Linked DNA regions of Rattus norvegicus. The protein of the gene in region 1 purifies or fractionates together with the protein of each later gene. This does not show direct contact. Links are inferred from orthologs where the notes say so. Each region holds a gene or a part of one and is shown in the gene's direction. Other genes may lie near its edges. The genes, in order: Morf4l2, Ash1l, Rbbp7, Sin3b, Phf12, Hdac2 and Kdm5a.

Evidence for each region.
Region 2: the proteins of Morf4l2 (region 1) and Ash1l purify together in Homo sapiens (affinity purification with mass spectrometry; 5 studies listed by BioGRID and IntAct, counting the BioPlex papers as one, with this or other methods). This does not show direct contact. The link is inferred for Rattus norvegicus from reciprocal best matches to the Homo sapiens genes MORF4L2 and ASH1L.
Region 3: the proteins of Morf4l2 (region 1) and Rbbp7 purify together in Homo sapiens (affinity purification with mass spectrometry, with the first as the bait; 3 studies listed by BioGRID). This does not show direct contact. The link is inferred for Rattus norvegicus from reciprocal best matches to the Homo sapiens genes MORF4L2 and RBBP7.
Region 4: the proteins of Morf4l2 (region 1) and Sin3b purify together in Homo sapiens (affinity purification with mass spectrometry; 5 studies listed by BioGRID and IntAct, with this or other methods). This does not show direct contact. The link is inferred for Rattus norvegicus from reciprocal best matches to the Homo sapiens genes MORF4L2 and SIN3B.
Region 5: the proteins of Morf4l2 (region 1) and Phf12 purify together in Homo sapiens (affinity purification with mass spectrometry; 9 studies listed by BioGRID and IntAct, counting the BioPlex papers as one, with this or other methods). This does not show direct contact. The link is inferred for Rattus norvegicus from reciprocal best matches to the Homo sapiens genes MORF4L2 and PHF12.
Region 6: the proteins of Morf4l2 (region 1) and Hdac2 purify together in Homo sapiens (affinity purification with mass spectrometry; 4 studies listed by BioGRID, with this or other methods). This does not show direct contact. The link is inferred for Rattus norvegicus from reciprocal best matches to the Homo sapiens genes MORF4L2 and HDAC2.
Region 7: the proteins of Morf4l2 (region 1) and Kdm5a purify together in Homo sapiens (affinity purification with mass spectrometry; 4 studies listed by BioGRID and IntAct, with this or other methods). This does not show direct contact. The link is inferred for Rattus norvegicus from reciprocal best matches to the Homo sapiens genes MORF4L2 and KDM5A.

What each region holds. Positions count from the first base shown.
Region 1 is NC_086039.1:104,882,908-104,887,308, reverse strand, and holds the start of Morf4l2 (mortality factor 4-like protein 2), read left to right. Parts: upstream 1-1,362; 5' UTR 1,363-1,432; intron 1,433-2,107; exon of another isoform or gene 2,108-2,267; intron 2,268-3,197; exon of another isoform or gene 3,198-3,650; intron 3,651-3,760; exon of another isoform or gene 3,761-3,948; intron 3,949-4,401. UniProt on the Homo sapiens protein: Component of the NuA4 histone acetyltransferase complex which is involved in transcriptional activation of select genes principally by acetylation of nucleosomal histone H4 and H2A.
Region 2 is NC_086020.1:176,777,296-176,781,269, forward strand, and holds the end of Ash1l (histone-lysine N-methyltransferase ASH1L), read left to right. Parts: intron 1-212; coding exon 213-514; intron 515-1,081; coding exon 1,082-1,173; 3' UTR 1,174-3,552; downstream 3,553-3,974. UniProt on the Homo sapiens protein: Histone methyltransferase specifically trimethylating 'Lys-36' of histone H3 forming H3K36me3. Also monomethylates 'Lys-9' of histone H3 (H3K9me1) in vitro. The physiological significance of the H3K9me1 activity is unclear.
Region 3 is NC_086039.1:35,560,140-35,564,729, reverse strand, and holds the start of Rbbp7 (histone-binding protein RBBP7), read left to right. Parts: upstream 1-1,699; 5' UTR 1,700-1,973; coding exon 1,974-1,989; intron 1,990-2,859; coding exon 2,860-3,004; intron 3,005-4,590. UniProt on the Homo sapiens protein: Core histone-binding subunit that may target chromatin remodeling factors, histone acetyltransferases and histone deacetylases to their histone substrates in a manner that is regulated by nucleosomal DNA.
Region 4 is NC_086034.1:17,169,733-17,173,706, reverse strand, and holds part of Sin3b (paired amphipathic helix protein Sin3b), read left to right. Parts: intron 1-1,600; coding exon 1,601-1,808; intron 1,809-2,041; coding exon 2,042-2,158; intron 2,159-3,587; coding exon 3,588-3,826; intron 3,827-3,974.
Region 5 is NC_086028.1:63,411,482-63,415,455, forward strand, and holds part of Phf12 (PHD finger protein 12), read left to right. Parts: intron 1-133; coding exon of another isoform or gene 134-162; exon of another isoform or gene 163-281; coding exon 282-407; intron 408-800; coding exon of another isoform or gene 801-859; intron 860-984; coding exon 985-1,128; intron 1,129-2,395; coding exon 2,396-2,494; intron 2,495-3,369; coding exon 3,370-3,452; intron 3,453-3,899; coding exon 3,900-3,974.
Region 6 is NC_086038.1:42,101,528-42,106,275, forward strand, and holds the start of Hdac2 (histone deacetylase 2), read left to right. Parts: upstream 1-1,599; 5' UTR 1,600-1,805; coding exon 1,806-1,857; intron 1,858-4,748. UniProt on the Homo sapiens protein: Histone deacetylase that catalyzes the deacetylation of lysine residues on the N-terminal part of the core histones (H2A, H2B, H3 and H4).
Region 7 is NC_086022.1:155,300,536-155,304,509, forward strand, and holds part of Kdm5a (lysine-specific demethylase 5A), read left to right. Parts: intron 1-1,438; coding exon 1,439-1,659; intron 1,660-3,630; coding exon 3,631-3,974. UniProt on the Homo sapiens protein: Histone demethylase that specifically demethylates 'Lys-4' of histone H3, thereby playing a central role in histone code. Does not demethylate histone H3 'Lys-9', H3 'Lys-27', H3 'Lys-36', H3 'Lys-79' or H4 'Lys-20'.

The sequences.
Region 1 (4,401 bases):
TTCAGACTCTGAAAGAGGAATACTAATGGTGACACTTAATGTGCAATTTCTTAATCAGCAAAACAAGACAGATACAATGCAGGGTATATCGCAAAATATTTTGCTACACGTTCTATGGCACCCTCTAGTGGTGTCCAAAAACGAGTGTTGAATTGTAGCCCTCCAAAGCAGTGGTTCTCCAATTTTAGAGTGCATTGGATTTACTAGAACAATTTGTAGTGGATGGCCAAGCTCCATCCAGAAAACCTTTGATTTGTGAGACATAAAGCAGGGCCTATGAATCTAATATTCTGATAACTTACCGAGTTTTACTGATGCTTCTGATTTTTGGAGAACCGCTCTAAAAAACCTTTCCCCTTTGCAGCTGAAGACGTGGCTCAGCCATTAAGACCACTTGCTGCTCTACCAGAAGACCCGAGTTAGGTTCCCAGCATCCATGTCAGGTGTCTCAGAACAGCCAGTAATCCCAGCTCCGGAGGATCCAGTGCCTCTGACTTCTGAACACATACACATGTGTAGAAATACCTAATTAAAAACAGTAAAATTAAAATCTTTTAAAAAACCTTCACCCTCGGGTGGATAAATACATATAATTAGTGCCTGAAACCTATTTTTGGCTGATTATAATGTAGTACAATTCTGTTAAGAAAAAGAAATACCTATGGGAAGGAATTTAATACATCTGAAATATAGAAAATATTAAAAAAAAAATCGATGGTCTGACTGGGGAGATGTCCGGGGAGGGGTAAATGTCTGCTGCTCAAACAGGAGGGCCTAAGTTCAGTTCCCCAGCATATATATAAAAGCTGAACACAGGGCACTGATCTATAACCCCAGTGTTTTAAGGGGGGCTGTTGGTAGAGACAGGCAGATCCTGGGAGTTCAGTGACAAGCCAGAATAGCACATAGAGTAACTCCGAGTTTACTCAGACCCTTCTGTAAAAAAATAAGGCGAACAGCAATAGAGGAAAAGACGTAAAGAAAGGTGAACTTTAGCCCCAAAATGCACAGGCCACACAGGTACATAAATTAAAAAAAACCACACACACCTCAGGGCTATGTTATTATGCGCTCTGAAACCTAAGTGAAATGTTTTACTATTTCCTATCTGACTCTAAAAACACAACCGAGTTTTTCGGAATGTAATGAGAATAGTAAAAAGAAATGCCCTTTGTCTTACAAAAACAGCTTAGTCAGGAGGAGGTCCAGGACACCCAAGGCTGTACCTGATAACCAGCCCCCAATGACATCAGTCACTAAGATAACCAGACACAGGACAAGAATCCCATGACGCCCGCTACACAGCGAGTATATAAGCAGGAAGATCGAGCGCATCGGTCTTTTGCTGCACACCTGGAGACACACCTTGAGCTGCCCTGCAGCCAGAGAGTCTCCTCGGGCTCCTGCATCGGAGACTAGGCCTGATCTTCAGGTAAGGGCGTCACAAACGTGAGCTCCCTTGGGAAAACTGTAGTTAAGAACCAAGAGTGTTGTGTGATGACTCTCGCCATGATAAAATAGAATTTTTGGTATACTAAGCTTCTACCTACTTGCTTAGGAGGGCACAGAACCATCACATAAAATTGGGGTGTAAACACCCATACCTGATAAGTTTGAAGAGGAAGATAATCCGCAATGCTGAGGTCTAACTTTACCTCCGAGTTACCTTTACAGACTGACTAGAGGAATTGTTAAGTACTGAAAAGCGGGCAAAAAGCAAAAAGAATATTCTTTCATGGATTTATTTATGCAGAGACAGGGTCTCAATATATAATCTATGCGGCCTTTAATCTAGGGCCCTCCTTCTGCTCAAGTGCTCATACAGCTCACAAAGGGTTTTAGCATCAGAATTTAGGCCCATGTATCAATCCTGAGTAAAATCAAAAGGCAAGGGAGAAAGAAATGCAAGAAGAACAGATGACTTTTTCTCTTTAAGGAAATTAACCAAAATATTCAGATATGTAATTCCTTGCCTAGTATTATTACTTCACAGAACTTGATTTTATTCTTAAGAATTTTATATATATATATATATATATATATATATATATATATATATGAGTCATCCAGAGATTACGGATCCTGTAAGAAGTGGGTGGAGCAAAAAATTAAATCTCACAATCCCTGGGAACCCAGCAGTAAATCCTTTGCTGGGATTTGGTGACATCTAGTGGCAGATTCAAGAGGTATAATGCTCATCCAATGAACTTTCTGGAAAACTGACCGAATGTATATTGGATCGCTACGCTTGGAGATTAGGACAAAAGGTAGGTGAGGCTTAGCATCCACGGGAAATTGGCATAGTCTGTATCACTGGGGAATTTTTTTTTTTTTTGGTTCTTTTTTTTTTTTTTCCGGAGCTGGGGACCGAACCCAGGGCCTTGCGCTTCCTAGGCAAGCGCTCTACCACTGAGCTAAATCCCCAACCCCTGGGGAATTTAATTGTCTTTGTTTTCGTTAGAATTATTTCTACCAATTTAGCAATAAACTTGGTGGGGGGCAAAAGGGAGGTTCTCAGTAATCTTGGTGAGGGGCAAAGGTGAGGCCTTGGAGACAGAGAGGGCGGGGTGTACACTTGGAAACTTAAAAGAAACGCCCTTTTACGTTACTAATATAGTTTTGAATGCTCACCATGGAAGAAGTTTATTTTGTTGGACTAAATTGTGGGAATAATAAGCATCTTTAGGGTCTAAAATTAAATCAGACTGGGTGGGGTGGCCGATGCTTTCAATGCCAGCGCACGGGAGGCCGTGAAGAGACAGGTGGGTCTCTTGTGTTCCAGGCCTGCCAAGCCTACGTAGCTAGAACAGGCCTCATAAATAAAGAAAATAAAATAAAATAAAATAAAAAAGAAAGAGCGAGCAAAGAAAGATAAAAAGGGGGGATTAAATTAAATCAGCAGGCTTTTCTAACAAAAGGCCTTTACCTCTGTACTAGTACTTTCTTGGGTCTTATTTATTAATGCAGTTTGCAAACATCAAAAGGCAGAAATGCACCAAAATGAGGGACCTCACCTACACACACTCTCAGGGCCCCTCCCGCCACCGCGAGAGCTTGCACGCCTGCGCACACCCATCATCCCCGGCGCCACGAGGGCGGCTGTTCGCCCACACCCACACTCCACAGCCACGCGAGCGTGCCCGCGCGCATACACCCCAGTTCTCAAGGCATCCGGGCATCCGCCCGATGGCACTCACCACCCTCACACGCATACACCTCAAAACCTTCATTTTTCCTTTTGGTTTGGTTGGGTTTTTTTTTTTTCTCCCGTTCTGAGGGTTGCGCAACAGGCTCGGGGGCGTGGCGCTGGTTTGACCTCGCTCTTCCCACTCCCGGGAACCTTAGCTCATTTCCGCCTATCCTATTTCCGCAGGCCACGTCGGCACTTCCTTTCCCTGTGGTGCGGGGGCGGGGGAGGGGGAACGGACCCACAAACCCATAATGCCTCCCTGCAGGAGAGAAGGAGAGCGCGAGGGAAAGAAGGTGGGGGAAAAAAAAAAAACCCACGGCCAGGGGAACTCTGGGTCGTGAAAACGGGCCACGTGAACACGCTGCCCTATAGACTTCTGACCCAACGGCTGTAGCGCACTTGGAGGGCGGGCTAAGAACCTAAAAGGGCGACCGTCATTGGTCGGAGCCCGCACTGAAGAAGGACGCTCATTGGTTTGATTTGGGCCCTAACCATGAAGAAGCAGGTTGCTAGCACCCGCCTTTACTGCGGCGGAGTGTCACTGCTGACGTGGGGGCGGTGGTCCAATCATTTGGGTATGGAACATTCTAAAACTTAGACAAGATGGCTAGGATTGGCTGAAGGGCTAAGCCCGCCTCCAGGGTGACGTGTCTGCCTATGGATATCAGTTGCCAGAGAAACCTGGCTTTACTATGGCGGTTGGAGGAGCAGCGGTGGTCACACGTCGGCTGCTGGAAAGAACTGGATTCTCGTTTCAGGTTTCGGGGTGGGGGTGGGGAGGAAGGGTCGATGATTTCCTCTTTCCTTCTTGACTTGTAGATAGGATTAACTAGTGCCTTCACATTCAAGCAAAACTGGATGCGTATTCCTGCTCGCCAACGCCCAACTTGGGCAAGGCTCCTTTCTGTGTCTCGGTTTCCATGTTTGTAAAATGGTGATAATAGTAGCTATCTCGGTCGCGGATTCAGATGTGCCTAGTAAAATAGTGCGTGTAAGGCATTCGACGTGAAGCCTGTCTCCGAAAGACAGGAACAATTGTTACTAAAGATAGATATTTCTGAGGAAGAAAAATTTTAAATGACGCAAATTTGCTTGATATCATATCTTTTTCTGTACATCATCCTCTTTCTTCGAAGAAATTATGACGATAGGCATTTATTAAGCCTTACCAATAAAATAATTTGATAGCCCAGAATTACCTCAGAATGGCT
Region 2 (3,974 bases), on another chromosome or scaffold:
TAACCTAGCATGCACAAACTAATAAAAAGAAAAATTAAATCTCAGAGAAAAGTGATGGTTTGTGCTAGTGCTAATATTCAGATTTTGTTCAGTTCAGATTCTAATAAGCAGACTCCAGGGTCTCAGGCTATCCTTAGGCTTCTCAGTTTCACCTTCCCACCCTTCAAGTGCCTTGCATGGCCTTGCCCTGAATTCACACATCCTTTTGGCAGATCGTCCTGGAAGTCTGAACGTTCAAAGCCGCTCTTAAAAGACCTCGGACAAGATGATGATGCTTTGCCCTTGATTGAAGAGGTGCTGGCTAGTCAGGAGCAAGCAGCCAATGAAATGCCCAGCCCTGAGGAGCCAGACCAGGAAAGAGTCACTGGGGACGTCAGTGACGCTGAAAAGAAGCCAGAGGAGAGTAGTCAAGAGCCCCAGTTAGCCAGCACGCCTGAGGAGCGAAGGCACAGCCAGAGGGAACGGCTCAACCAGATCCTGCTCAACCTCCTGGAGAAAATACCTGGGAAAAACGGTAAGACTCGGACTTATGACTAGGCTAGAAAATAAATGGAAAGTAAATTAAAAAAAGAGGTAAAAAAGCAACTCTGTGTGTGTGTGTGTGTGTGTGTGTGTGTGTGTGTGTCTGTGTGTGTCTGTGTGTGTCTGTGTGTCTGTGTGTGTCTGTGTGTGTCTGTGTGTGTGCGAGCGCGCGTGAACATGTGCATGTGTATTATACTGGAAAATAAACCTAGTACCTGAGATATGCTAGAGAATACATTGTACTACCGAGTTTGTCTGGATTTAGAATGTCATTAATCACTATGCCAGCATGGAACATGTTCTAAGAAAACGGTTTCGTTCTTTCATAAACTTGCTCAGTTGAGTGTTCAAAGTGATGCTAAAATCAGATGGTGTCTTTCAAACCCTAGAGAACCATTTTCTTTTCTGTGTTGGGGCCAGGATACAACTTCAAAACAAAAACTTAGGGCTAGGAACAGACCTAATGCTTTTGACCGTGAGTCCCTGAGTTCTCTAGAGTGCAAATCCAGAATGCAGCAGAAGAGTAACATCTGATGTATCATGTTGGTTCTGATTTCAGCCATTGATGTGACCTACCTGCTGGAGGAAGGGTCAGGCAGGAAACTACGAAGGCGCACTTTGTTTATACCAGAAAACAGCTTTCGGAAGTGACTCTCAAAAGGATGAGAACCTCGAGCATCTGGGATCCAGCGGCACCGTGGAGTCCAGTCTCTTGCTCTCTGGACATGGACTGGGGCAAAAAAGTTCTGTCCAGGCAAGGAATGTGAGGTCACGTGTCTGACATTAGGTACTTATTAGACTTGGAGCTAGTGAAAAGGGAGTGGAAGTAGGCTTGTCTGAGACGGTTGAGTTTACTCCTTTGTAGCTTTGCCTAAGGGTTAATATGGAGAGGAGGACCACATTGGAATAGCCAGAAGCTATTGGTACTTTACAGCACTTGATACTCCTCACAGCTTGGGTTTTTCTGGGTTGCCCTCTGATCCTGCAAGCACTAAGAAGCTGCTTCCTATGACCAGGTGTAAATTCAAAATCCAAAGGGAAGGGTCCAGACCCCAGCCCTATCCCATTTATTCTCTCAGCTCTAAGAGCTGCATCAGAGACCTACACAGAGACAGTAGCTGAGGCCTCTTTTCAGTTCCTTCAACAGGAAAGTTCTTTCTTCCTTCTTGCCTAACCAGGTCAAAGTACTAGAACAGGAATCAACTGCTCAGAGCACTTAGAACTTCCGCCACTCTCCACTCTCTTTCCCAGGAGAGAGTTGATAGAGTCAGGGGGAGGAGAGGCCCCATGGGATCAGGAGGGCAGTATTTGTAATTATTTTTGGTTTACCCTTCATAACCTGCCGAACATATTTTTTCCTACTGAGAAAGCCAAGCCCCCGCCAGCACACATGCTGCTTCTCTTCCTGTGTGTCTGCTGTGCACCGATTCACTTCACAAAAGAACAACATTTTTAAACTTCTCCCCTAACAAAACTCACTACAGAACCGTTGAGCAGTGTTCACTATCAGAGTGTTTGTTCTAAGTGTAGATTACCGATTGAAAACACTATTCTTATTTTCTTAACTGTATAGTTCCCGTGTCCATCCCTGCACTCATCCCGTTTCCCCTCCACCTTTCTGAATGACTTCATCATCAGGAGGTATATCCAGGGTTGCCGTCCCTCCCAGTCTCTTGGCCGGAAGTTACCAGACCATACTGTCTCTTTACAAGTAAAATTCAAAAAGCTTTGCTTTGTCTTCTCAGACATACATATGCATATACATTTTAGATGTTCTTATAAGAGAAAAGATGGTTTTTAAATGTGCCAAGTTATGTATGTGTGTGTATATATATGTGTGTGTGTGTGTATATATATATGTGTGTCTGTGTATATATGTGTGGGTGCGTGTGAGTATGTGTGTGTGTGGGCACACGCACATGTGCACAAGCGTTTTGTGTGTGTGTGTGTGTGTGTGTGTGTGTGTGTGTGTGTGTGTGCTGTGAGATTGGTAAGCAATACATTAGTAAACACATCTTCATTACTCTTTTCCGATACTGGACCAATGATGTCCTAACTGTACATTTCCTTCCCCTTATGATGACGACGCTCTGACTCATTTAGGTAGAAACATTTGACCACCTTTCATTCCATTGATTTTCTTTTTCTCCTTTCTGTGTTATTCTTAAGGGAAAAGAGAGAGAGAAAGAGAGGGGGATAGCATAGATCCCCTTGAGCAGAGAAAAAGCAAAATATTTTATTAAAGAAAAAAAGAGAAATTAAGAAAATAGTTTGGAGTATTTTCTTACTGTAGAGAAGCATTGTACATTACCACGAGACCTGGGTATAAGATGCTCACGTGTGGCGCTGGGGAGCGCATGTCCAAGCCCATTTGAGTGGTTTCTTTTGTTTCTCATTGCAGGGAGTGGGTGGGAGGGAGGGAGGACTAAGGGCACTTTCGGGGGTCTCCTTTTAGTCAAAAGCAAGAAAATGACAAGAAAGAGATTAAATTCAATGTTTTCCTTGAATAGTGTTAAACACTAAAATTTTAAAACAAGAAAGAAAAAACTTTGTAAAATGCAAGAACAGAAGCAAAAGACACTACGCTGTCATTTTTATCTTTCTTTTGTTGAAAGATTAAAAACTGAAATGTTTTTTAGACAATCAAATGTTAGGTAAGTGCAAAAACTTGTTTTTCTTACTGGTGTAGAAATTAATGCCTTTTTTATTTTTCAGTTATTTTATAATAACAAAATAAAAACAACCCCCAGCTGCCAGGTGGGTTTTGGTGTTCGAAATGCGGGGCAAAGCACTACATCACTGCAAATAGATACAGAGTTAGTCTGCATGTCTGTAGGCTGTGTGATTGCGGAAAATATAAATGCTGCTAATATATTTCCTTTTTACAGAAAAGCATATCTAAATAGATGATTGTTTTGATGTTAATCTTTGTAAATTATGTATTACCAATTTTAACATTGGATGTAATTGCATAAAGGCTTGCATCTCAATCCTTGAAAGTCTAGCATTAAATGGAAACAACTTTTCCTAACTGTGGAGTGGCTACCTTGCTGTTTGTGCCTCTTTTCTACCCTGCAGAATCTTCCAGCACCATCTGCACCCTGTTTCTAAGGACAGCTCCCTAAAAGTCTGTCATCAATAACCCACATGAGCCATTTCTTCTAGAATCTGTCTTAATTGAATCCAGCCTTTCCAGTAAACACCACAGTGATCACAGTACCAGATAGCCAACAACTAGTTGTTTGTCAAACAAGCTGTGCTTAGAGCCACTTTTTTATTTTGAGGTAGTATCTCACTTTGTAGACCAGGTTGACTTAGAACTCAAAATGTGCTGAGAGTGAAGGTGAGTGCCAGCATGCGGGCCTCCACTCGTCTTGTTCAGGTATGCTGAGGACCCAAACCAGGGCCTTGTGCACACCAGACAAGTACTGAGCTACTTTCTAGCCCAAGGC
Region 3 (4,590 bases), about 69 Mb from region 1:
TATCCTAGAACAAGGAGGACAAGCTACAGTCCTTTAAATCTCGCCCACCAACCGGTTTTTGCATGACCCTGAAGCGGAGAATGATTTTTCCATTTCTAAGTGATTGAAAAAAATGATAATATTTTGTGACCTGTGCAAAGTACATGAAGTTCAAATTTCAGTGACTATAGTTTTACTGGAAGATGGCCAGGTTTATCCATATTTTCTATGGCTGCTGCGCTACAATACGGAGGGCTGCCTGGCGCCTTTCAAAAAAAAAAAAAGTTTGACCACCAGTGTTCTAGAACACAGAGGACCCATGCTGTAACACCCTTCTAACCGCCCCCCTCCCGCCTCCAGCCACCCCTTCAGCGTTAGTCACCAGCAAGATTCTTGGAGCTGACATGGAAGGGCGTTATAGTAATGAATTGTACCACATGGGAAAACAAGAGACCCAAGACAGTAAATTTCTATATAAGGGAACATGACTGTTTCTGTCACATACTAGAGTAACGTCTGAGTTTGTTTCCCGATCAGAAAAGAGGGCATCATCGCGGCCTCTGCATGGCTGCGTTTAAGCATGAAGGCACTTGGAAAGCTATCAAGGGAACAAATGTTCCGGGGGTGTTTTTGCAAGGAGAGCCTCTGAGTTTAGATGCAGACTGTGGTTCCCTTTAAGCATCGGCGCTTAGGCCCCTCTGCTCTGGCCCTCATTTTCTCCCTGGGATCATGTGGCTCTTTTTCTTCAACCTCCTCCCCCACCCCCACTCTTTCTCCAGGCTAAAAGCTTCAGAGAAAAGCAGAGCTCAGGTAATGCTGGCCTAGATTAGCCCAGCCCAGCTCTCTCCAGTTCATCAGCCAGCTGCCGGGTCAAAATGGGACCCCTTCAGGTGACAAGAATGACTCAGCAGGGGCCTAGGCAGGAACTGAGATAGGGAAGCACTGGTAGGCACAAAATCCCCTGCTGCAGCAGGAAGCTAACAAACCAGTACGTTAAGGACGCAAATAAGTGAATAAACAAAAAAGTAATTTAAGTCAACTTTAGGCCTTGGGCGGACTGAAGGCCTGGGCCATTGCAGGCCTTAAATAAAGGAGGCCTGCCCAGCTTCTGGCAGAAAAAAACGCCAAGGTCTCTCCTAAAGGTCCCTTTCGCTCATGACAAATGTCAGTACGGCTCGACTGGGCCCTCAAAACGGTTGGGTGGGAGCCTTGGAGGGGGTGCAGAAAACTGCGTGCCCGTGATTATCTGGGAGACTTTGAGGGCACCGTAATCTCTCGAGAACAGGAAACCATTTTCCTTGCTGGCTCTGAGATTTTGCTTTGCTAAGGCGGCTGCAGCTTCCCTGCCCCCCTCGCACCCCCTGCCGTTGCTGCTGCTTTAAGCAACCACGCCCCGCGGGCCCCAGGCTTCTTGGCCCTGGGGCTCGCAGCCCCCGCGCAGCCTGCACACCGCGCTCTCATCCGCCCCACCCCCGCGCGGGCCCATCCGCCCCCGCGGCCAGCCTGGGGAGCGCCGAGTGACGCCTTGCGCCTGCGCCCCACGAACTTCCTGCCGCGGAACGCCCCACCCACTCCTAAGAAGCCCGCCTCCGAAGATCGCGAAAGACCCACCCGTTGCACGCTATTGGTCGAGGTATCCGAGCCGTTGGCTCCCAGACCCGCCTCTTCACCGCCTCTCCAGTTTCCCAGGGCGGATGCGCCTGCGCTCAGCTGCCTGGGCGGGCTGAGAGGCGCGGGTTGAAAAGTCTCGTTCCAAGTTTGGAGAGAGGGAGAGAGAGGAGAGCGTCTCAGACCTCGCTACCCGCAAGCGGGGAGGAGGCAGAAGAGAAGATCGCGGCGTCTGGGGAGCACCCAGACAGCCAGACCGAGCTCAGGCTTTCCGAGCTAGGAGTGCGTGACGTGCCTGGGAGAGGCAGGAGCGCCTGCGATCGGGCTGCTCTTGACTAGCGAGAGAAGTCCGAGGCGGCAAAGGGGGGCGAACGACCCGACGCAAGATGGCGAGTAAAGAGAGTAAGGAGGCCCTGCGGGGCGGCGCGCGCCGGGGCTACGGGGGGCGGCGGGCGCGCGCCGGGGCTACGGGGGGCGGCGGGCGCGCGAGGCCGCGGCACGCGCCGACGAAAGGCGCGAATTGGCGTGAGGAGCAGGGGGCGGGGCTGGGCGCGAGGCTAGCCGCGCGCCTGGAGGGGGCCTGCGCGGGACAGGGCCTGCTCGCCGAGGGCTGAGAGCACTTCCGGAGCCGGGCTCGGGGCCGAGGGGTAGGCCCCCTCCCCCACCCGCCTCCCCCCTTCTGCGGCCTAGCTCCCTCCGACGCCCTTGACTGGGGGCGCAGGCGGTCGCGGTGGAGAAGTAAACGCAGCGGATTCTTCTTACGCCTGTTCTTAGTCCGTCTCGGGGTCGCGGCCTTCGTCCGTGTTGGGAGGGGGGGTGGGGAGGATCTGGAGCCCGCCGGACTATGGCTGCCGATGTTGGCGTGGTGGGAGCTGGGGCCTCCTCTGAGGCGGGGGGGGGTGGAGGAAGCAGGCCTATGGGCTGCTGCTACACGTGGATTTTATCTATTTGTGTGGGTCGTGGCGCCCGTTTACAATGCAGGTCATCTTAGACAGGTGCGAACAGCTATAAAAAGGCTGAAAATCTCGACGTTAGTGCAATTAATGACCCAATTCGGTAAGCGCAGGAGATACTGATCTTGAAAGTGGAGGTGAAAATGCTTCCTGATGTTAGTCTCCTCACTTTCTGGGAGAGCGGTTTGTGTGCGCATAAAAGGTAAAAGGAAAGAATAGATAAGGTGTGGCCCTTTCGAGGTGACCTCCAGTATCCGTTTCCATGCTTTGACTCCGACCCTTCTCAGCCACTTAATTGTGGGCTTTCTCCAAATTTCAGTGTTTGAAGATACTGTGGAGGAGCGTGTCATCAACGAAGAATATAAAATCTGGAAGAAGAATACACCGTTTCTGTATGACCTGGTTATGACCCATGCTCTTCAGTGGCCCAGTCTTACCGTTCAGTGGCTTCCTGAAGTGACTAAGTAAGGGTTTCTGGCAACTTTTATTTTGTGTAGATTTAAGTACCGTTTTAAATTGCTAGGTATTACTGATAATGGTATTTTACACACAGAATGTAAATGTGTAATTGGTTAGGCCGAGGGTGAGGCGGCAAGTGGTTATGTTCAAAACTTAAGATCGTTTCAAGCATAGAGGTGTGTTGAGAGGAGAGAATATTATTGTGATACCAATGGTGTGTATAGAAAATACTGAATATTTTGCCATTCCGTGAACTCTATTAGACCAGCATCTCGACTCCAGATCAAAACATTATTTTCAAACTTAAGAGGAAAGATTACATATATAACAAAAGCTATTACAGCTTGATGCATTTTTGGTAACTGAATACAATGTGAATACACTTAAACATATATTTAATTACTAGCAAAAGGAAAAAGAATTTGGCAATAGTCAAAGAAAAGAGTCGTTTGGTTTCAGTTTATAATTCAGGTTGCGATTTTTGTTAAGTGATTTTTCTTGAATATTTGTAACATTTGGCATATAAATTTGGTTTAAGCACTTAGAATAATAGGAACTAACATGTGAAGAGTTTAAGCCTCAGAACTACAATTGCGGTTCACAAATTTAGCAGTGAGGAGAAGGGCTGAGAATTTTAAGCAATGCTTCAGCACACACTACTGGTGATCTCATAGCTTACCAACTAGGGCTCAACCAACCCAAACCGGTTGACTCCAGAAGTCAAGGCACCTCCTTCATTAGACTACCTTTATCATCTAGGCATGTACCTTTTCTATAGGAATATGGGCACATACCTTAAAAGTATATTGAATTTTTGTATTGTGAGCCTATAATTAGGGTTAAATAAAACTAATATACAGGGGAGATTTTGTGACCAGTGATAAAAGGAAGCCAGTTTTAAGCAAAGTAACTTCTAAGGACTAAATTCCATATATGAACATTGACTTCCCAGATACAGACTTTCTGTTGTCTCAAAAAATCTTATGTTTTTTATTTGCAGGTTTTTTTTTACATTAAAATGCCTCTTTAAAAATCTAAGTGTACAGTGAGAAGTCTTAAATGGCTAAATAGTGGGGGCTTATAGGCATTGATTTTATTTTTTCAGCACTGGTTCAAACCCAGGGCCTCAGCATGGTAGGCATGTGCTCTGTGGCTAAGCTGTTTTTTGAGCAAATTCTAAAATAGACTGAGGGTTGGCAAGGTGGCCCAGCATGGTAAAGGCACTTGTCTTCAAGTCTAAGAATTTGAGTTCAGTCTCCAGAACCCACATGGTATTAAGAACTCTTCTGATCTACACATGTACACTGTTGTAAATATACATATCCACACACAATGAATAAATAAGTAAACAGTACAAAAAATATATTGAGCTGGGTGCCGTGGCACACGGCTGTATCCTAAGTTACAGGCTTGCCTGAGTTTTATTAATTACCATGTTTCTTTTCTCTTTTTTTTTAAATTTTTTTTAGACAGGGTTTCTCTGTGTAGCCCTGGCTGCCCTGGAACTAACTCAAAAAGACCCACCTGCTCGCAAGTGCTAGTATTAAAGATGTACCCAACCACCACCTAGTAAGACCATGTTTCCCAGAAA
Region 4 (3,974 bases), on another chromosome or scaffold:
GGCGCAGCTGGGTGTGTGCTGTGTTGAACTGCACATTCCTATTAATGATATTGTCTTTCCCTGTTTTTCTCCGTTTTGCATGTATGTGTACTATGTTGCACATATTTCCCGTGACCCTCCTGTAGTTGACAGTCTGCTGACTTGTGTGTCACATGTGCCTTCCCTGCACACATGGGATACAAACAGTAGGTACTACATAAAAAAATTAGCAGAAAAAAAAATTAGCAGAAAAAAAATTAGCAGAAACCAAGGTGGCATTGGATGTCAGTTGCTGTAAAGTGTCCCATTAACACGCATCCTGTTTCCATCCCTACTTCTGAGAATGAACCACAAGGGCCTTTGTGGGGAGAGGTCGAACTCATGAAGGAGGGAAAATTCACCTGGGAAGACAGCCCTGGTGGACACAGCTGTTCTCCGTTCTGTCCTCTAGAGCAGCCATGGACAGAAACAAGAAAGTGAGGCAGAGCTGGGTGCCAACAAAGCTTTGCAGAAACAGTCTGTGGCTGCAGTGTGTGCCACCTGGCCTGGGTCAAGGGCAATGGCCCATCTTTGACTTCTGAGTTTGGAGTTCAGTTTCATCCTCCTTAGGCTATAGCAGCCATTGGAGTCACCAGAAAACAGTAGAAGGGAGACTGACCCGGCCCACCCCAGGACTCCAGCATCCTCGGGGAACTTTGTGATGCCTGCGACCTTCTGAGGAATAGGGAGGAGCAGGGGTGCTCTGCCCAGGCTTGGGTACAGCCAGTGACCAGAAGGGGCTAATGTCCAGGGCTTGGGGGGTGTGGGCTCAGGGGTCAAGGCTGGTGTCTGTCTGTGTTTTGAATAACTTAAAGGAGGTCATGTCTAGCCTAGAACTCGGTTCAATTCCAGACTGTGGCTTGGGCACAGATTGGCTGTAAACACAGATTGGGCACATGGGCTGGCTGGTCACAGGGCCCATGGGACACTTGAGTGGTTTTTTTTGTTTGTTTGTTTGTTTGTTTTGAGATAGGGTCTCATATCCTGGCTGTGCTGGAACATGCTCTGTAGACCAGGCTAGCCTAAAACTTAACAAGATCTACCCAGATCTGCCTCTCGAGTTATGGGATGGAAGACATGTGCTGCTCTACTCGTTTTCTTCTTTTCTTCTTTTAGTTGATTAATTAATTTTTATTTCATGTGCATTGGTGTTTTGCCTGCATGTATGTCTGAGTTTGTCAGATTCCCTGGAATTGGAGTTATAGACAGTTGTACGCTGCCATGTGGGTGCTGGGAATTGAACCCTGGTCCTCTGGAAGAGCAACCAGTGCTCTTAACCATCGAGCCATCTCTCTAGCTCCCTCTTACTTTTTTTAAGTTAAGGGACAGAAAATCCAGGCAGTGAGACTCACAGAGGTTATTCCCAGTGTGCTTTGTGGCTGTGGCCTAGTGCAGCTGGCAAAGGTCTATAGCTATAGGACCATGATTGGTGTTGGTAGGAGAGAACCCTCCTCCCTTTCCTAACACTGAGTTCTGACTCAGGCCATCCTTGAAGTTCCCTATCTTCAAGGCTGTTGTTATGACTCTAGAACATTTTCAAATGGTCCAGTGTCCACTTAAAGTTTTCTGTCTGTCTTTGAAGGAAATTTCCAGAACTCTTCGCACAGTTCAAGTCCTTCCTGGGAGTGAAAGAGCTGTCCTTTGCACCACCTATGAGTGACCGGTCTGGAGACGGCATAAGCAGAGAAATTGATTATGCATCTTGTAAGCGAATAGGATCCAGCTACCGGGCACTTCCCAAGACCTACCAGCAGCCCAAGTGCAGCGGAAGGACTGCCATCTGCAAGGAGGTAGCACCTTGGGGTACAGGTCAGCCCTTTATGGCACACAGCCATGGGCCAGGGTCCAGACCCCTGATGACATTTGATACTGGGGCATGTCAGCAGAGGCCACCTGAACTTCATGTCCTGTTGGATGGTAGTGCTTACAGCTCACACTGGCGTGGGGACTTGGTCATCTTTATCACTGTTCATTTCTGCCCTGTCCCCAAGTGTACTTAGTGACATCTTGTCCTCTGGTCCAGGTCCTGAATGATACATGGGTCTCCTTCCCATCCTGGTCTGAAGACTCCACCTTTGTCAGCTCCAAGAAGACGCCCTATGAGGAGCAGCTGCATCGCTGTGAGGATGAGCGATTTGAAGTAGGTGAAACACCTCTGGCTGCCTGAGCTGCTGTCCTCCGAGCCCAGCACCTTCCTTGTATAGCCTAGTCCTGTAGTCTCTTCTCCCTGTCACAAAAGTGTGCCAGCGCTGTGATCAGCCCCTGGCTGCCAGCTCTGCCAGCTCTTGAGCTGCAGCACAGCGTTAACCCCTTCCTTTCAGCTGAAGACAGTGGGTAGTTAACTGAAACTAAGGTAGCGTTATTTTTAATTTTTACTTTTTGATTGTTCAAGACAGGGTTTCTCTGTGTGGTTCTCATTGTCCTGGAACTCACTCTGTAGACCAGGCTGGCTTCAAACTCAGAGACTGATGCCTCTGCCTCCCAAGTGCTGGGATTAAAGGTGTGCACCACCACTGCCAGGCTAAGTTAGCATCATTTCTTACTGAAGTTGTAATTGAGTTCTTCAGACCCAACCAAGTGCCCCTCCTGGGGACAGACAATGAAGCACCTTCATTTCATCCTGATTTCCCTTTTACAAGCTTATACCTGCATGTCTTTTTGTTTTGTTTTGTTTTCTTTTTTAGATTTACTTTTATTTTATGTATGTGGGTGTTTGCCTGTGTGTCGGTCTGATGCCCACAGAGGCCAGTAAAGGACATTGGATCCCTTGGAACTGGAGTTAGGAACAGTTGTGAGCCACCATGTGGGTGCTGGGAATTACATTGCAGTCGTCTGGAAGGACGGCCATAGCTCTTACCCTGAGCCAGCTCCGCAGCCTTGCCTTTCAGTCTGAAATGTCTCTCTTTGCAGCCCCGGTTGGTGTGAAACTTGTGATCCTCCTTCCAAGTGCTAGGATGGCTGACCGTGTGTGCCCTCCACCCATTTCCTCTGTGTGTGTGTGCTTCCAGCTTCTGCTGTGACAAGTCCCATGGACAAGACAGTTTCTATGAACTAGAGTCCAGCAGCTGCTGGGAAGTGTAATTCAAATGTGCCATACTTGGCAAAGCCTGCTTATGGTATCCCATGGTGGTTGGGACATAGAGGAGGCCAGTCGTGGCTTATAACCCCGTTCCTAAACATTCCCACCCACCCGACAGTCTGAGGCTGGCGCACCAGGTCCTGTGTTCTGTTTGAGGCAAAGTTTTCTTAGAACACAATCTTCCTGCTCCCATTAATACTGACACACCCACTCCTAAACTTCAATGTGGCAGGTGATCAGACTGTAGGGGAGAGAGAGATAGGGGGAGGGGGAGAGAGGGAGGGAAAGGAGGGGGAGGGAGAGAGAGTGAGCCTATGTGACTGTTACCCGCCCCACCTCCATGATGATATGTGCCACGGCTGTCACTGGAATGCTGCCCTCCCACATAGGTGTGCTCTGGTAGACAGACACCCACACTTACTGGCTCCATTGACAGCTTCTAACCACCCACCAGTCCCCAGTTCTGACCATGCCTGCCTCCTCTTTGCAGTTGGACGTTGTCCTCGAGACCAACCTGGCCACCATCCGAGTGCTGGAGAGTGTGCAGAAGAAGTTGTCGAGGATGGCTCCTGAGGACCAGGAGAAGCTCCGCCTGGATGACTGCCTGGGCGGCACCTCGGAGGTGATTCAGCGCCGTGCCATACACCGCATCTACGGAGACAAGGCCCCGGAGGTCATTGAGAGCCTGAAGAGGAACCCCGCCACCGCCGTGCCTGTCGTCCTGAAAAGGTACCCCCTCCTGTACTTCCCTTCTGGGTTCCTGAATGATGGAGTCAGTTGACTCTGTCTTCAGGTCAGCCTCCAGCTGACTTAGGCCTGAGCAGAGTCTTGACAGCCAGGCTCCTGGGCATCTCATGTGGTCTCATTCATCTCCAGG
Region 5 (3,974 bases), on another chromosome or scaffold:
CTCATGAGCCAAGAATGAAGCAACCTCAGCACTTGCCCCAAAATAGTAGATTGCAGCAGTTCTCAGTGCTCTGGAAACCCTGCGTGCCCGTATGTTATTGTTCCATCTGCCCTTCCTCACCACACGTTTTTAGCTCTAGGAGTTCCAGAGCCTGTGGGTTGAGAATCAAGAAGGGAACATCACCTTGGGTCCGAAATCCAGAACTGTCTCAACAATGGGGGATTGGACCGGTGGGTTTCCCTCAGGCGACGTAAGTAACAGTCTTCCTGCTCCGTCCCCAGATGGCAAGGTCAGCCCCGGCACGTTATCCATAGGAAGCGCTTTAACCGTACCCTCTTTCCCAGCCAACTCTACTGCCATGGTGGACCTCACCAACTCACTTCGAGCATTTATGGATGTCAGCGGAGGTGAGTAATGTCCCATTAGCATTCAACTTCTTTTAAAGAGGGATAGGAGATGGGGATAAATAAGTGTGTCCGTTTGGGTAGAAGAATGGGAAAGAAGGCACCTTCTCTTGTCTCTGCCTTCTGGGTTTATACAATACAATCAAAGACGAAGAGAAGGAGAGCACAGCCAAGCTGAGCCAGAGGGCGGGAAAGAGCAGAATCACATTAGGCAGATCCCCTGGCAGCAAAACAGAACCAGGTTGATTCCGTCTAGAAAACTCCAAAGTTAAAGAGAATAGAGATGGAGTTCTCTGCACAGAGAGTGGGTAGAAAAGGTCAGTCTGTATCAGACATCTAGATCTTCCTCACAGGCAACTGGGTATATTGGTCCTGTCTTTCTTTACTTAATATTAGCCTACCTTACTACAAGAAGCCACTGCTCTGGGCCCTTGTCACTGCAGAGGGCACGTGAGGTACCCATTTTCAAATCTTTGTTCCATTGTCTGAACATTGTCACTTGCTGGATTGGCCCTGTCACCCTTATCTGCTTCCACATTCCATTTCTCTCAGCTTTTTGATCTTTTTCTTTGGTTGATAGAAATCGAGATAAATATGTTGGACGAGAAGCTGATCAAGTTTCTGGCCTTGCAGAGAATACATCAGCTTTTCCCTTCCCGGGGTCAAGCTTCACCGGGCAGTGTTGGGACACATCCGCTGTCTTCTGGAGGGCACCACACAGAAGGTGCGCGTGCACATACCTGCCACCACACCATCAGCTCTCCTGTCTGATGTGTGTGAATGACCACCTTGCTCCACGGAGACTCTCTGCTTTCAGTAGCTCACACTCTTTGTACCTCTGGGTTTAATAAAGCATGGTGATTTCTTTTTTTTTCCTCAGCACAAACAAGATAAACAATTTTTGGTCAGACTTGGGGAGTTTGCCATAACTTTTTTTCACAGAAGTCCACTTTGATTCATAACAAAACAGCTACCAATACTTTGGGGTATATGTTGTATTCTTTCTGTTCAATTACTCCGTAATATTTGAACTAGGTTTTCCCAAGGTTTAAAGTGAGAAATAGAAAAATAGTAGGAAATTCTTCTCCAGGGTTAACTCTGTTACCTCTAAGCTCAGCTCAGCCCTTCAGAACCTTGTGCTTCAGAAACTTAAAGTACCATGCCAGCAACATCGGAGCTCAAGCCTTCACTAGAAACAGATTCTAGACTGCTCTGTCACCAAAGAGGCCTGAGTTCTATCCCTAGAGCCCACATAGCAAAAGCTAGGTATGGTGATGCTTGCTTACAATCCCTGAGGTGAGCGAGTAGAGGTAGACAGACTGGCCCCTTGGACTCACAGGCTGCCCAGCCTAAACCTCTTCTTGAATTCTAGGCCAGTGAGAGACCTTATCTCCCCCCAAAAATAGAATATGAGGAACAACACCAGAAGTTGTTTGTATATATGTGAACACAAATGTGTGTGAACTCTCACAAGTGTGTGTGAACTAGCATACAGGAAATTAAAATTCACAAATAGCCAACTAAATCTAGGTCAGGTTTCTGGTGGGAGTGGTGGTAGTTCTAGGAATCAAACCCATTGACTTAGTGAACAGGTACTGTAGAACTAAATTATAATTATGGACTCCATAGGCAGTGACGTGCTCATTAAAGCCTGAGAAACAGAGCTGTACCTTATGTTTTCCATGTTCTCTTTATTACCAGTTGGAATGTCCTTGTTAAGCTCACCAGGTACCCAGGAACTTAAAAGTACTCATGTCCTCATTCTGTAACCATCTTCAATGAAGATCCTTCCTAACCCGTATTGAAAATGCTATGGTTGTGGGAAAGCATTTCCCTGAAGCAGCTCTGGGGCAGGCATGAGTTTTGAGCATGAGCCACCCAGTAGGAGTTTTTTTTCAAGGCCACCAACCATAGATTCAGGATTTGTTGGTTTGTGTTTGGGTCACAGGTTCTGGGTTCTGAATGATCCTATCCCTGTGTTTGTCTTATAGTGCAAAGGAAGGAGGTACAAGCCCGAGCTGTGTTCTACCCCCTCTTAGGGTTGGGAGGAGCTGTGAACATGTGCTATCGAACCCTCTACATCGGGACAGGTGAGCCAGCCAGGAGTCTGGGAGGGGCACTGGATCTTCAGCCTAAAGATGGACACTTAAAGAAACCCTTTCAGAGGTTGATGGGTCTAACTAGTGAGTGTCTAGGCAAGGAGACTAAAAATCCAGACAATCCAATGGGGTACTTCCTTGGCTCAGGCCTTTTGCTTTAACTGCCTCTAGGCAGAGTCTGGAACACTATAAGGAGAAACTTGAAAAGAGGACACTTCCTTATTCTCAGGGTGTAATAGACTCACACATAACCCTCCTTTGTTAGTTTATTTTGGTCATCACGATGATTTAGGATAGGATCTCTGTAGTCCAGAGTGGTCTTGAACTCATGTCTGTCCTCTTGCCTCAGCCTCTCTAGTACTACAACTACTGGTATTGCCCACCACACCCCCAATCACCCCTTATCCTAGAAATTGCCCTTTTTTTTTTTTTTTTTTTCCGGAGCTGGGGACCGAACCCAGGGCTTGCGCTTCCTAGGCAAGCGCTCTGCCACTGAGCCAAATCCCCAACCCTAGAAATTGCCCTTTAAAGTGCCCTGGATTTACCATCCTTTTCAGTAACTTACTGCTCTGTCTGGGTAGCTGCCATGTATTCAATGCAAATTAAGTTTTAGAACAACAAAGGGAATTGATGAACTCAACAACATATATCTGTAATCCCAGTACTTCTGGAATGGATGCAGGGAGATCAAGAGTTCAAAGCTGCCCATTATTATAAAGGAAAGGAAAAAGAAAAGAGGTTCTGAGCTACCTTGAAGTTTCTACTAGCAACCACCCAGAAACTAACTCCCCTCTCTTTTACCTTCCCAACACATATACCTCACAAGTCTGTTCTCTCCCTTTCCCTTGACTCCTGCCACCTTGCAGGAGCTGACATGGATGTGTGCCTTACAAACTATGGTCACTGTAACTACGTGTCCGGGAAACATGCCTGCATATTCTACGATGAGGTGAGAGGCAGAGATGGGTGGGAGGGAGCTTTCCTAGCCTGAGGTCTTTCCCCAGCACTGGGTTCTGGCCACGGGCAGAGGCAGGTGTGAAAGGCTTGGCATTCCACCATGGCAGCCTGCTTTGGTGCAGGAGCAAGCTGTTGTTACAGCCGATGTTGCTCACAGAAACATTTGAGGGAGGCCACCTCAAAACAGGGAAGGGACCAGAGTAGAAGGAAGCCAAGCTCTGTATGTCCCTGCGTTTCATCATAATTGTGTGCCAGTGACTATCAGATCAATAGGAGCCAGTTCTGAGGAGCAGAGAGAGGGAATATGGAGTCACTAGGCTTTCAGAGGTGAGGTTTTGGTGGATTCTGAAAGAGGCGGGCTGTAACCAAGGAAGAGCATGACCTTGCTAGGCTCCCCAGGCTTCACACAGCAACTACACATCCTTATCTCCCTCCTCAGAATACCAAACATTATGAGCTGTTAAACTACAGTGAGCACGGGACAACGGTGGACAATGTGCTGTATTCATGTGAC
Region 6 (4,748 bases), on another chromosome or scaffold:
TGGTTTAAATACTATTCCATGTGGATTTTCTTAAGAAGGTTTTTTTTTTTTTCTTTCCGGAGCTGGGGACCGAACCCAGGGCCTTGCGCTTCCTAGGTAAGCACTCTACCGTTGAGCTAAATCCCCAGCCCCAAGAAGGTTTTAATAGTCATATAAGAAAGCCTCTCATTTTATTGGTGAAAAGCACTTAAACAAAAAAAAAAATTCAAATGGCTTGCTGGAAGTCACAGGCACTAGACTAGATTATGTTCAGGGAAAAAAAAATCGACTTATCCTCTTGTGAAAGTGTCCTACTGAGAGACCAGTTGAGGAGTTACGGCCAACAGTTAACATGTTAAATGCTGAACTAAAAGGACACTTGGTATTAAAAAGCACGGGAAACAGACATGGGAGAACACTGTAGTCCCTGAACCTACCGTGTTAATCTCCCAGGGTCTTGTTAAAAGTACAGGCTTGGGAGAGAAGTGGATGTGGTGAGGGGTATCTTGGAGTGATTTTTAAGTCTCTTGGAGTAATGTCTAGAAGATTGGTGTTTTAAGTATGGAGAGTCCTGGGGGTCACAAGGTAGAAAATAATTATTTTTGTTAATGACTCAGTATGGTTCTTACTTCAACCCCTCCTCTTACGGAAGGAAGCGGTGTGCGCATGTAGCCGGAATTGTAAATAATAACGGTTAAGATATGTGAGTGTTGGATTTGACAGCCAGCTCCCATCCTTTCTTTGCGTAACGTTTAAGAAGGTTGGTTTAGACTGGTGCTCAATAAACGTCAAGCTATTAAAACACAGGGACTCCAATGTTTAAATCCATCCTTTTGGATTGTCTGACAGTCTGATACAGTAGACAAAGCACGTGGAGTCTGGAAAAGTTTGACACCCGTTCGGTCCTCAGATGACTCACACTTGAGGGCTCCTTCATTTACCCGCACCCATAAGGAGATGCGCACGGCGCGTGCATCCCGGCACCTTTGACACCTTTAAATGGCGTTTATTATAAACAGGTTTGGGTGCTGGGAACCGCGCTTATGCTTGAGTCCAAGAAATGCTTATTAAACCCAGGAGATACCTTCAGCCATTAACCTCTCTGTAACTCAAGAGTAGTTATCAGAAGGGAGGAGAGAACAGGAGAATTAGAACGCGTGGGAATATCCGACCACCAGGCAGCCCGGGGGCAGCCCTGGGGAGCTCTCCAGCGGGTTCCCCTCGGAGTCCCCGCGGCACGTGGCGGGCTCGGGCAGGCGCGTCGCGGCGGTGGGGGAGGGGAGAGGCGTGAGCCCTGGCGGAGGGGTCTAGACTGCCCGGGATCCGTTTGAGCAGGCGCGGAGTGCGCAGGCTCGGCCCCGGTGCAACCAGTGCGTGCCAGACCGAGAGGGGGACGTGGTGGCAGAGCGTTCGGGACTCTGAGCACAGGGCCAAGGTCGGCTTGTGCGCACCTCCGGACTGTGTGTGTGATAAGACATACGGAGCACTGCTGCAGCCTCGACCGGTGGCATCCACTCCGGCCCGGTCTCTCCTCCGGCCCGTAGCTGTGTTTCCCCCTCCGCGCGGCCGCAGTGGTTCCTCCCAACTCGCAGCCCCGCCGCCCGGAGGCCTACCCCTGCCGAGTGTCGCGCGTCGGCGCCGCTGCCAACCCCGCTCTGCGATCTCGGGCCCTCCCGGCACCCGCTCGCCGTCCCGCTCCGGGCTGTCCTTGCTGCGAGGGCCGCCGCGCCCGCCGTCTCCCTCAGCCCTCTTGTCTGGCCGCCGGGCCGCGGCGGGCGAGAGCAGCCGGAGGAGGAGCCGCAGCCAGGAGGCGGCGGCCGGAGCCCATGGCGTACAGTCAAGGAGGCGGCAAGAAGAAAGTGTGCTACTATTATGACGGTAAGTGGCCGGGGAGCCTGCAGCGGGGCTGCGGGTCGGACGCGGCGGGGTATCGAGGGTGGCAGCCCGCGGGGACACCGACACGGCCTACCCAGCGCTCGCCCGCCTACTCGGGGACGCCCGCCTTCGCTCCTCTCCGGTCCTCCGCTCGGGCACGCGTATGTTTGGGGTGCACTGCCTGGGACCGGTCTCGGAGGAACCCCTGTCGGCTCCCCGGGCCTGACTGCACAAAGCCGGCGTCCTGGAGCTCCGCCCTGCGTCCCTGTCCCCTCCCCCGCTCGCCCGGTCCCCCCTTCTCGCCCCCGATCTGTCGGCGCTGCGCTTCCAGCCTCACCCGGGACCCCGGCGCCCGGGTGGAGCTGCGGAGGAGTTACTGCTGGCCGGGGGCCAAGTTCGCAGAGCGGCGCTGTCTCGCTGGTGTTTTGCGTGGACTCCATCCCTCGCCTTTGTTCGTCGGGTTTCTTCAAGCTCCACTTTCTCAGGGTTCGGATGGAAGGGCTGCACTTCCTCCGTGACAATTAAAGGGTTTTGAATTGGAAGTAGGTAGGCCTGTGGGGAAGTGATGGGAGAGAGGGAGCGTGGAGTTGCTCTTGTTTGGTGGGTCTTGGCATGTCTCTATGGGAGGTTATTACCACCCACTTCTTTGTTGGTCTTTGTTCGATCCGCAGTTATACTCTGCTCTGGGGCTTAGGAAGGAGCATGGGCATCTTGGTTAGGAAGTCTGTCCAAGTGTGGTGGGGACCCTGCTGCAGCAAACTTTGAGAAGTAGACTACATATTCCATACAGGTAGGGCTGAGCTCAGAGTGCAGTGGACGGTACAAGGTGACTGTACGTGTTCCCTAATTTGGAATATAAGCAGTCATAGTCTCTGGGTCCAATTACACTAGATGGAGTAGTGCCCTGCCTTACAGATTTCACCCAGAACATTAATTGATAACTATTGAGAGAAGTAATAAGGAAATTGGACAGAACTAGCTAGCCTCACGGACTCGAAACGCTTCATCTCTACAAAGCAATACGAAATTGGGAGCGTTTTCTGTAGTTGGTGCATTGAAGTCTTGGAGAGGTAGATTACAGTGTAGAAAAGCAGGCCGAATGAAACCGACTTTAGCTGCAAATAACCGTTTGTTTTCTTGGTTTGGTCGAATCTTTTTTAATACAGGCTTTAAATGAAATAGTCACCTGTCATTGGCTGGAAAATCAAAAACCTGACAGAAAGCTAGGTCAAAATAGAAACAGCTTTTAAATGGCTGTTTTGTTTTCTGAGATAGGCTCTCGATAAGTTGACCTGGCTGTCCTGAAACTGTCCTATGTAGACTAGGCTGACTCTAACTCCGAGATCAACCTGCCCCCGCCTCCCAAATCCTGGGATTAAAGGCGAGTGCCACTGGCTTAATTGGCAGTTTGAGAGGACTACATTGAAAAGTTACACTATCGTGGAGAGCAGAGATGGGAAAGCATGACAACTTAGACATGACTTAACCATTATGAAGTGGGATTCATGGCAGACCCCTGACCTGCATTCTCTGATCCATTGGAAAGGATGCACTGTATGAATTAACTTGAAAAATTACAATTACAGCCTTTCCAAAGTAAAGGTTTGCTCTGCTAGAGGGTAGAGTCAGGGAAATAATGAACTGTTGGGGAACAGCTCAGTCTCTTCTGCTGTCAGCTTCTTTCCTCAGCTATGAACTCTTAAATCCCATGTAACCTTGACCGGGTCTGATGGAGAACCAGACAGTACTCTAGTGTGTCTTGAGCAGCGCCTTCTTCCCGGGTTCCTGTGTGGGGATGAGCCTTTACTGAGGGATGGGATAGACGGGTGGATGGAGGTATTTTTCAGTCATGTGATTTTTAACTTACGCCCATGCAACAGCTTTACCTAGATGTAAGTAACCAACTGTACAACTAATGGTGGAAATCTGCTGGGTTATCTGTGAAAATCTGTCTGGTTCTTGCTTGTTTTTAGGATGGACGTATTTTCATTCCAAATATTTGCATTAAAGAAAGTTAACAAAAAATGGAAAAGAACACTTAAATTGGTGTCTTAAGCTAATTAACATGTGACATGTGATAGCATGCTAGACTACAGAAATAATTCTCTACATGTCTGTCTTCATTACTGTCTGCAGTACTGGACCTGTTAGATCTCTGTGCCACTGCTCTGTGAACTTTTGGATAGGGGCATGTGAGCTATCCCTAATCCTCAGAAGAGAAATCAGAGTTCTTAGTAGACTACGACTATTGATTGACTGCTCATCCTAATTCCCAGAAACACATTTCTGAATTTTGGCTAATCTCTTATTAAAGATCAATGCTTCATCAAATGATCTGAAGCTAATTATGTACACACTAGTATACTTTCTGACCTTAAACCGAGGTTTTTTGCTTTTGGGGGGTTTTTTGTTTGTTTTTTTTCTCTATTTAAGTGTAATTTAGCAGATGGAGCCACATTTGGTTCTAATTGCAATGCTCATGGTTTTAATACTTCATCTAGAAATGTGAACTATGCCTTGTTTGGAGTGAAGCTTGGGACCAATCATGCAATGCCATCTAATGTATAATTTATAACAGAATTAAATGTATGCATAATTATATAATTAAACACAAATTGTTTTATGCTTTGTTACTCAGATTTTCTTAGATAGAGCTAATCATAATCAAAATGTTTGGAGGCCTAGTCCAGAGGAAAGCACTTGGCAACACAAAAACAGTTAGCAAGATCGTGCTTCCCACTGTACTCCTAACTTACTTAACAATGCAAGAGTTCTACAGAATGGCCATCTGTTTTCAGATTTAATTTACTTTTATTTAAAATGGTAGAGTAAGAGTCTTTGGCTTGATAGCTTTGTAGTTATCTTGTTTTTTTTTTTGTTGTTGTTGTTTTGTT
Region 7 (3,974 bases), on another chromosome or scaffold:
AGTCCTGGTGCTGGTGCAAGAGGTAGGGAGTGGAGACAGATTTGGCTGGGAATTCTCAGCCAGTTAGTCTGTGGTAGGTAGCACAACAGGAGAAACAACAGGTCCCTCAACAAAGACTCAAAACATTGTCTGATCTCTACATGCTGTGACATACATGTACCTGGACTCACATGCACATAACATACACACAAAATAAACAAAAAGCAAACAAAACAGAAAGCATAAGGGTGGGAGATTGAGTTGGGTGGTAGTGTTTGCCTAGTAAGTGAAAAGCCTAGGTTTGGTCCTAAACCCTGAGAAAAACAAAATAATTAATAGTTAGAAAGTAAGTTGAAACAGAAAAAGACATCATATTAATCCAGATTATGAATCCCTCTTGAATACAAACCTGGTTGTCACCTTGTGAGAGAGCTTAAAAACATTATTGTGGGGGGTTGAGGATTTAGCTCAGTGGTAGAGCGCAAGGCCCTGGGTTCGGTCCCCAGCTCTGGGGAAAAAAATAAAAACAAAAAACATTATTGTAGTTAGGAAAAGCCAAAACTTATTTTCTATCATTTTTGATGTCCTGAAAAGATAATAGAATATAGAGTCCCAAGAAGGAATGTTTTCTAAGGTCACATGATTAAGTGTCATATTTGTATGAAATCTCTGTCAGACCTTGATTTACCCTCTACTTGATCAGTACCAGCTGTCAAGGAACTCACTGATATCCATACTGGATTTGGGTATTCTTTTATCTTGTGGTTTTTATTGGTTTGTTGGGATTTTTTCTTTTGCATGCTCACGTGTGTGGTGTGTGTGTGTAAAGACAGTGTCTCATTTTAGCTTTAGCAGGCCTAATTCTCTTTGTGTAGCCTCTCTTGGCTTCAAACTTACAGTAATCCTCTTGTATCAGCTTTCTCAGTGCTAGGATTTCAAGTGTGTGCCACTGTACCTGGTTAGACTTCAGTATTGGGTTTTTGTTGTTGTTTTTGTCTTATGATTTTTTTTTTTTTTTTTTTTTTTTTGGTTCTTTTTTTCGGAGCTGGGGACCGAACCCAGGGCCTTGCGCTTCCTAGGCAAGCGCTCTACCACTGAGCTAAATCCCCAACCCCTTGTTTGGTATTCTTAATTGTTAGGAACTTAATTCTTTTGGTGAATTCTTTCTCGCTGATGTTCACTTTTCTTCTACCCAGAGAAAATAAATAAAACTTGATTTCACTACTCTGGAAAATGAAGATTATTTTTTCTACGATAAACTTTTAGAAATGTTATGGATCATTATATTATTCATTAGTAACAATTTAAAAAAACCTTATTTTGTATTAAAATAATGTATCCAATTATCTGACTTTACTATAGAGAGGAGAGGCAATTTTTTTTCTAAACATTTAACTTTCATAATATGTGTATACCATTTTCATTTCTTTGCTTTGTTTCTTGATGTCTTGGGGAAAAGGTTCTAGCACTCCAAGAAAGCAGCCTCGGAAGAGCCCTTTGGTTCCCAGAAGTTTGGAGCCTCCAGTATTAGAATTGTCTCCTGGAGCAAAAGCCCAGTTGGAAGAACTCATGATGGTTGGAGACCTCCTAGAAGTGTCTCTGGATGAGACACAACACATATGGCGGATTTTGCAGGCCACACATCCACCCTCAGAGGACAGATTCTTACATATCATGGAGGTACGGGATGGCTAAGTGGGTAGTAGTTTGGCAGTCATGTTTTCTCATTTAAGCAAAAATACTTGTTTTCTTCACTGAAATTTTATGTAATAATTCTTTTATTTCTGCTAGAGAGAAGGAAAGATTAAAAAACAGTTTAGCCAAGTATCATGGTGCAGGCTTATAATCCTAAAACAAGGGAAGTAGAGGTAAGAAGATCAGGCATTCAAAACCATCCTTGGCTGCTTGAGGCTAGCCTCCACCACACAAGCTCTTTTCTCAAAAACACATAAACAAAAACAATAAAGCAGTTTAGGGGCTGGAGAGATGTTAAGATTACTCAGATGCTCCGGGTCTGGGTCAGTTACCAGCACCCACAAAGGGTGGCTCACATCCACCCATAACTTCAGCGCAAGGGGATCTGAAACCCTCCTCTACTTCAAAAGCCCCTCCACTCACGTGCATGTATACCCCACACAGAAACACACATGTACACACATAATTTAAAAAATCAGTTTTATAACAGTTGCCTTAGATAACTGGATAAATGTTGAAATTTTTAAAAGGTTGGGCTGGAGAATTTGCCTGCTGTGCAAATATGAAGACCAGAGTTTGGCACGAATATTAAAAAAGGGGGGGAGGATTCTCTTGGTGGTCTGCCTGTAACCCCAGTGGGTGGAAGCCAGAAGCCAGAATCTCTGGAGCAAACTGGCTAGCTACACTAGCCAAAGTCGTGAGCTCCATGTTCAACAAGAGACTGTACCTCAGTTTATAAAGTGGAGAGTTACTGAGGAAGACACCTTACATTAACATTGGCCTCTACACACACTGGAACTTATACATACATGTGTACATACAACACATGCACTTCCAAACATGCTTGCAGGAAAAAAAAAGGCAAGGAGGTGGTTGAGTAGAACTGGATGAGTTGGAAGACTCTACCGTCCTATACTACATGTGCATTAATGGCGAACATTTTATATTAGTGTTTTTACATCCATGATCCCCCTTTGATCATGCTAGGATTATAAGCATGAGCAATCCATTTCTGAATTTAGGGTTGTTATTATTTTCTACTCTTAGTCACCTGCACCTGCTTCCAGAGTCTTGGAGTCTTGGAGATTAACCAGTTTCTTATTTATTTTTCTTTGAGACAGGGACTTTGGAAGCCAAGTTTAGCCTCAAACTTTCTGAGTAACAAAGGATGAACTTAACCTTGTGATTTTCCTTTGTCTACCTCCCAAGTGCTGGGATTACACGAAAGCACCCCCAGCATATGGTTTTGTGTGTGCTAGGGATCAAACTCAGGGTATTCTGAGTACTCTGCCATCTGAGCTACATCCTCAGCAAGTCTGTCAGAGTTACATGTTGTCATGTAAAGAATGTTGGGGCTGGAGCGACAGCTCACCAGTTAAGAGCTTCCTGCTCTTCCAGAGGACCCAAATTCGATTCCCAGCACCCACATGACAGCTTACAACTGTCTGTAACTCCATTTCCAGGAGATTAGACAGTCTCACACAGACAAACATGCAGGCAAAACACTAATACACATAAAAATACATAAAAAATAAATAAAATCTCAGAAAAATTTAAAATGTTGGTACAGTAGCTACAGCACAAGAGCTATCATATCTTTGTTGAGTAAACAGTTGAGTTCTGTTGTGTACATTCACACTGTATGCAAATACCACAGTACATTCCTAGAACTCACTCACTCTCGTTATATGGACCACTGCCCTTGAGCTTGAAGCCACCCCATTGCAGCTGCTTCCCAAGTGCTGGGATTACAGATGTGTACCACCAGTGCCTGTTACACAACTCTAATCATCCCAAACAGGAAATCTGAACCATTAAAAAATAATTATTTGCCCTCCCTCACCTCCTATTCTCCTTTTTGTGTCTGCTAATTTTCTTGTTCTAAGTACCTCACATAAGAGAATAACACTTTTTTAAAGTTTTGCATTAAAATTTGATTAATTTCATATTTTGAAGGATGATAGCGTAGAAGAGAAACCATTAAAAATGAAAGGAAAGGATTCTTCAGAGAAGAAACGGAAGCGGAAATTAGAAAAGGTAGAACAGTTTTTTGGAGAAGGAAAACAGAAGACCAAGGAGCTAAAGAAAATAGATAAACCTAAAAAGAAGAAATTAAAATTAAATGTGGACAAATCAAAAGAGCTGAATAAATTGGCTAAGAAGTTAGCAAAAGAAGAAGAGCGAAAGAAAAAGAAAGAAAAGGCTGCTGCAGCCAAAGTGGAGCTTGCGAAAGAGAGCACCGAGAAGAAAAGAGAGAGAAAGGTGCTGGATATCCCTTCAAAGTATGACTGGTCGGGCGC